Linked DNA regions of Sus scrofa. The protein of the gene in region 1 purifies or fractionates together with the protein of each later gene. This does not show direct contact. Links are inferred from orthologs where the notes say so. Each region holds a gene or a part of one and is shown on either strand. Other genes may lie near its edges. The genes, in order: VPS4A and ZFYVE19.

Region 1 (3,811 bases):
ACCTTAAGTGGCTCAACATGAAGTTCCCATTCTGGCTCAGTGGTAACAAACCACTAGTATCCATGAGGGCCCAGGTTTGATCCCTGGCCTCGCTCAGTGGGTTAAGGATCAGGCATTGCCGTGAGCTGTGGCACAGGCCAGCAGCTACAGCTCTGATTTGACCCCTAGCCTGGGAACTTCCATATGCCTCGGGTGGGGCCCTAAAAAATAAAAAAATAATAATAAAAAAAGTGGCTCAATGCTTACCTGTGAACAAATGTGGAAATTTAATTGGCAAGATGACAGCTTCTTTGAGGGCCTCTTTGGCGCCCTCCAGCCCGGCCACATCATTCCACCGAATGTTGGGCTTCTCCACCACGACGGCACCTGCAAGATGGAAACAGAGCCTTCACCTCAGAGCTCGACCCACCAGGGGTCCTCGCCACGTCCCCCTCCCCCTGCCACAGGCCTCAAGCCTCTTACCCATCAGCTGTTCTTGCAATTTCTTTTTCTCTGGATTATCCCCTTCGCTGTCACTATCACTGCTGGGAAAGGAGACAGAAGATGAGAGGCTGGAGCAAGAGGCAGCTGGCAAGGAGGCTCTCAGAGCAGAGTGAGGCCAGGCTCTGGCTGCCCGCACGGTGCTAAAGAGACACTTTCCCTGCTCAGCAGTGCTGAGAGCCACGCACAGGCACCTGGAGGATGCCAGGCCACGCATCACAGCACTCACTCTGGATTCTCCAGGAGGTGCTCTCATCACCTGCTTCACTTCCTCATGAAGGGAGTAAAATGAGAGGCCTTCTCCTCCCTAGAGGGCTGGTGAGGGCCCTGTGCTTTGGCTGGACTTCGAGAGCAGCAGGCAAGCACTTGGAGCTGTTATTGGCCTTTTGCAGGGATTCAAACCAGGACAGCAGTGGCTGTGCCTCCAGGCCAATCCCTATCCGACCCGAGCAACGTGCCTTCCTTAACTCCCCTGCCCGCCTGCAGAGGCCTGCCCCTGCCCTTCCCCACTGTGTCTCCCGCTCTGGGGAATCGAAACACAGGCATGTCCTCTCTACCCAGGTGCAGAGCCTCCCACCCCTGGGGAGAGAGCTGACACACCACCTTCTCTCTCCTTCTGCACCACCCTCCTGCTGGGCACCCTCCCCTGGACCCCAGAAGCCTTTGTGTTCAAACTACAGATGTGAGGTGACAGGCTGTGGAGGGAACACTGGCTTTGGAATTAGAAACAGAGCCTCAGGGGAGTTCCCATTGTGGCGCGGCGGATCCGACTAGGAACCACGAGGTTGTGGGTTCGATCCCCGGCTGTGATCCAGGGTTGCCGTGAGCTGTGGTGTAGGTGGCAGATGCGGCTCGGATCCCGAGTTGCTGTGGTTCTGGTGTAGGCCGGTGGGCTACAGCTCCGCTTCGACCCCTAGCCTGGGAACCTCCATATGCTGTGGGAGCGGCCCTAGAAATGGCAAAAAGACAAAAAAATAAATAAATAAATAAATAAATAAAGATACTTCCCAGGATGTTTTTAAAAAAAAAAAAAAAGGAAAAAAAGAAACAGAGCCCCAGGTGTGGGTCCAAACTCCGTCAAGTACTAGCTGTGTGCGACCTTGGCCATCCCTGAACCTTTCCGAGTCTGTTGCCCCATGTGTCAGATGAAGACGATAACTGCAATGACAGCAGTTGCTGCGCGCCAAGCTCTCTTCTCAGGGCTCTACCCACATCATCTCACTTGTTCCTTAGAGCAACACCAGGAGGGAAGTCTTATTACCTTCCTCCTCCTACAGATGAGGGTCATGGCACTTGTCCAAGGTCACATGGCTGGGAAGTGGTGGAGCCGGGTTAGACCCCGAGAGTCTGGCCGCAGAGTCCAAGGCTGGCTCCCCACCTTGCCCAGAGTGTTTCCACACAGATCCAATGAGAGAGTGTACACGGAGCAGCCTGGGAAGCGCTTGATGAAAGCAGCTACACGCATCATCATTATTATGAGAAGTCCCCCAAAGGAAGATGCTGCGGACGTCCACGACAGCATCGGTACCAAGATGATAGCTACACAGGAAAGAGACAGCTGCCCATCGGGGCTCTGGTCCCGACGGGGCCCTCCACTCCTCCGTACTCACCCCTTGCTCTCACTCTGATTCTCTTTGACTGGCTTCTTGCCATGCTTCTCTTTGTTTCGTAAATAATCCTTCAGCTTCTCTGCCCGGTCTAGGTACTGCATGCACTTGGCTCGAATGCTCTCCTTGGCCTTGTCGTTGTGTGCCTCATCTGCAAAAGGGGAACTAGGTAAGGGCCGGTGAGCCCCTGAGGGCCCGCCCTCCTCTTGCAGGGGCTCTGCAGCCAGGGAGGACCCCCCATGAGACTCACATTTGATAGCGTGTAAGAAATACTCCACGGCATGCTGGTAGAGCCGGAGCGCCTCCTCGTAATTCTTGGCTTTATCCTCTTCTGTGGCTTTTGTCACCAAATCAATGGCTTTCTGCAAAGGCAAAACATAGAAGCCAGTGCTTACCAAGAGATCCAGCAATTCCTTGGGTTCCAGAGAGCAGGAAAACACTGTAAGAGATACTGCCAGGGCTGCCTGGGGATTTGTCAGTCACAGACCATTATGTTGGCTACTTTTCCAACATCAACTAGAAAGGCCTTAAAAGGAACCTGTAAAAGAGAGCCATCCCTCTTCGCAATACGCTCATGTAGTGAAAACCAACCTCTCTCTCAGTCAAGTGGAAGCCTCGTCAAACATCTCAGATTTAAGGCTTGAAGGGAGAATTCACTTTCTATTTCATGGTTTCAGAGGAAAGAGAAATAGACCTGGACTGGGCCTGAAACACGGGAAACACCAGAACCAATTGACTGCCATGCTGTTCTATACGGAGGCTAGAAACCACCCCTGACCTCGAGGGCCAGAGAAGAGCCAGCAAGCCAGCCAGCAAAGTCCTTCTTCGGTCCAAGAGTTTTATGAGATGAACTTAAACGGATCTCTCCTTCTTGCCACTGGTCCAACTTGTTTCTCTAGGCTGAAAAGAGAAGACAGTTCCCTCAAGCTGATACTTAGAGAAGGGATGCTTGGACCCGTGGTTCAGTACACCGGTAGCTCCAGGAAGAAAAGTGCATGCTTACTCCAGAAGCATAAACGTGCGGCCACTGGAGGGGACCAGTCCTCTGGAACCTCCTAAGCACTCTGCATATCTCTGTGAACCTCATAAATCCTGTAGCCCTGTGCTCTGGACTGAACTTAAAGCAGGCTGGATCTTTCAGGCAGCTGCCCCACACCTACATAACCAGTTTTAGAAACCACGGCTTCACCAACCCGGGAAGCATGACCAGAATTATCCTCCTCAAGCTGATACAGCACTAGACACCAGGCAGGCAGATCCCCCGGTATCCACACAGTTCCGTCGGCAACGAACAATAAGCCTCCTGACCAGCTCTTGGCAGGACCCGGGCATTTATGGGCCTTTTCTCATCTGACAGTAGTAAGTCTCAGAAAGACACACGGAGCTCTACAGAACAAACAGCCTGGGGTAGGTCAGGCTAGCGTGATGTTAAATGAACTCGCCAGGTTGAACAGATGAGGAAAGGTGATAGGTAGCTACTCTATTCAGGCTTTAGCTCCACCCCAACGACCAACAGAGAATGGCTAAAAGGCCTGAACTTTCCCAGATGATCAGCTTAAGCACAAGCTTCACCTGAACACTCTCCTCCACGAGGCCCTTCAGACAGACATGAAAGCGATGCTCCCATGGCCAGAAGCCTCTGATCTCCAGAACACACCCTCCTGGTTCCCTTGGCTTTTCCACTCTACACGTTTTCCTGGGTGTGTCCTTTTGAAAGGGGGCTT
Region 2 (2,674 bases), on another chromosome or scaffold:
CCCAAGGGCCCAGAGTGCCAGTTCTGAGGGGCAAGCCACCGGGTCCCTGGAGGAGGAGAAGAGCAGGCTTCTGGCTGAGGCAGCAGTCGAACTTCGGGAGGAGAACACAAGGCAGGAGCGGATCTTGGCCCTTGCCAAGCGCCTGGCTGTGCTTCGAGGAGAGGACCCAGATAAAGGTAGAGGCTGGGGAGTGGCTCACTCTTGTCCAGTGGGCAGGCCCTCAACTCCCACCCCCAGGCCAAGCTCTGCCCAGTGGCTGCTGTACTCCCTGCCAGACTGGGTCAGGGGCTGGGGGGCCCTGTGCTCAGGAGTCTGTCGAGCTTTGTCCAGAGCCATGAAGAAGGTGCTGAGGCGATGCAGTGGATGAGGAACAAGTGGCAGCTATCAGGGGGCAGGGGACCCTGGGTCCCTTCAGGTGCAGATCCCCAGCCTGGCAGTGTGGCACAGGGTCTGACCAGAGTGACTGCAGAGGCTACTCAGCTCTGGAACAGATGCCACTGGAAACCAGATTACTGGGGGCAGGAGCACAGCCACTCAGGTGAGCTCTCAGCCTCATTCCTCCTCCCCTGCTCCCGTCTCACCCTCTTCAAGTGACCCTCCAGGACTATCACCTTCCGGACAGTGATGATGAAGAGGATGAGGAGACAGCCATCCAGAGAGTCCTGCGGCAGGTTGGCCCCACCTTATCCCCCTGACCACCCTCGTCCTGTTCCTGCCCCACTGCTCCAGCACCCACCTGGCCCCATTCACCCCGCCTCTTCTCTGGGGTTCAATGGGCAGTCACTCTGCAGTGCCTGTTCTAGCTGGGACTGCTCTGCCCCTCTGACCCAGCCCCGCCCCCCCTAGCCCCTTGAGGTGGAGTGTCAGCAGCCATAGGCAGCAGATGAAGGAAGGTGGGCTGAGAGCTAAGCCACAGAACACAAAAATACTGGGTGTTGGGGGCATGCCTGAGCAGGGAGCTGTACCTCTTCACTCTGTCCACAGCTCACTGAAGAAGCTGCCCTGGATGAGGCAAGTGGCTTTAACATCCCTGCAGAGCCAAATCTCCAACCCCAAGCCCAATCCAGCAGGGTAGAGCCTAAGGTGAGAAAAGCTCCAGACACAAACCCCCCCAGGCCACCATCACAGCTTCCCCTCCCCGGACCCCATCAGGTACCTTACATCCTCCATTCCTCTCTGGTCCCAAAGGCCCAGGCCATGGCCCCCAGGCCTGAGGCTGAGGAAGAGGAGCTCCCCTGGTGCTGTATCTGTAATGAGGATGCCACGCTGCGCTGTGCTGGCTGTGATGGAGACCTCTATTGTGTTCGCTGCTTCCGGTAGGTACAGGTGGAATTCCTGTGGGGCCAGGAATGTTCCAAGGCCTCCTTTGACCCCTGACCTGTATCTCTGCTCCACAGGGAAGGCCACGATGCTTTTGAACTTAAAGAGCACCAGACATCTGCCTACCACCCCTTGCACAAAGGGCGAGAGCACTGAGGGAACCCTGGTCCTCCCGGGAAGGCCATCCTACAGGCAGTCACACAGGCCGGGGCACCCACCAGCGCATCTGATGGGAGAGCACATCAGGCTAGACTGCTTACCGGGAGTTCCCTGGTGGCTCAGCAGGTGAAGGATCCAGTGTTTTCACTGCTGTGGCTTGGGTCACTACTGTGCTGTGGGTTTGATCCCTGGTCCTGGAACTTCCGCATGCCAAGAATGCAGCCAAAAAAAAAAAAAAAAAAAAAAAAAAAAGAGCTAGACTGCTTGTGAATGTGTCCTTTCCTGAGCCTCTGTGTCCCTTGAAAGAGGAAGGACTCTCCATTTAACAGTGACTAGAGAAGCCAGAGGAAAGCAAGAAGTTGGGAGCTTTCCCGCATTGACATCTGGACTGGGAGTGAGAGGCATGCTGGGAGGAGACCAAGCTGAATCTAAGGAGGAGCCCTAAAACTTGCTCAAGGGCCCAGGGCTCTCTGCTGGCACTTAGGGGATCTAATAAAGTATGTTGATTCCTTGGACCCGGTGTCTTTTATCTGTAGAACTGAACCATACAGGCCCTGAGCCTGGGCCCGAGGAGAGATGGCAAGAATAGTAGGCTACAAGTCCAGTCCTGTGAAGTGAGGGAAAAGGTTAAGCCATCCTGCAAGCTTCCTGAGGCAAGAAGAGTCCCACCCATCCTGGTGGCCTCACAGGCAGTAGGCATCAAAATTCATCAATTGAACTGAACTGCATCCTGCTCGAGGCAGCCCAGCTTAGCCCCCGGGGCACCACCATCTTGGGTTTCTCAGCTTCTCTAGTACTCCAACACTGCATGCAGTAACAGTGGATGCATCCGCTGCCTCCTGCCTTACTCCCAAGAACACCACCTCCCAGGGGTCCTGTCCCACCCTCCCGGCCATGCAAACCCAGAGTGTTTTTCCACCAATGATTCTCAGGCCCTCTGCTTAGCCCCCCCGACCCCTGCTTTTTCTCTTGCTGCCTCTGGCTTGGAGCTGGCTCAAGAAAGAGTCCTCAGGAGAGTTCCCTTAGTGGTAATGAACCCCACTAAGGTCTACAAGGGTGCGGGTTGGATCCCTGGCCTCACTCAGTGGGTTAAGGACATACTGTTACTGTGAGCTATAGTGTAGGTTGCAGACTCGGCTCAGATCTGGCGTTGCTATGGCTGTGGTGTAGGCCAGCAGCTGTAGCTCTGCTTTGA

What was found.
Region 2: the proteins of VPS4A (region 1) and ZFYVE19 purify together in Homo sapiens (affinity purification with mass spectrometry; 3 studies listed by BioGRID and IntAct, counting the BioPlex papers as one, with this or other methods). This does not show direct contact. The link is inferred for Sus scrofa from reciprocal best matches to the Homo sapiens genes VPS4A and ZFYVE19.

The regions. Positions count from the first base shown.
Region 1 is NC_010448.4:17,662,886-17,666,696, forward strand, and holds part of VPS4A (vacuolar protein sorting-associated protein 4A), read right to left. Parts: intron 2,450-3,811; coding exon 2,338-2,449; coding exon of another isoform or gene 2,239-2,337; coding exon 2,091-2,238; intron 525-2,090; coding exon 463-524; intron 367-462; coding exon 247-366; intron 1-246. UniProt on the Homo sapiens protein: Involved in late steps of the endosomal multivesicular bodies (MVB) pathway. Recognizes membrane-associated ESCRT-III assemblies and catalyzes their disassembly, possibly in combination with membrane fission.
Region 2 is NC_010443.5:130,510,038-130,512,711, reverse strand, and holds the end of ZFYVE19 (abscission/NoCut checkpoint regulator), read left to right. Parts: coding exon 1-176; intron 177-591; coding exon 592-671; intron 672-984; coding exon 985-1,083; intron 1,084-1,188; coding exon 1,189-1,316; intron 1,317-1,397; coding exon 1,398-1,476; 3' UTR 1,477-1,994; downstream 1,995-2,674. UniProt on the Homo sapiens protein: Key regulator of abscission step in cytokinesis: part of the cytokinesis checkpoint, a process required to delay abscission to prevent both premature resolution of intercellular chromosome bridges and accumulation of DNA damage.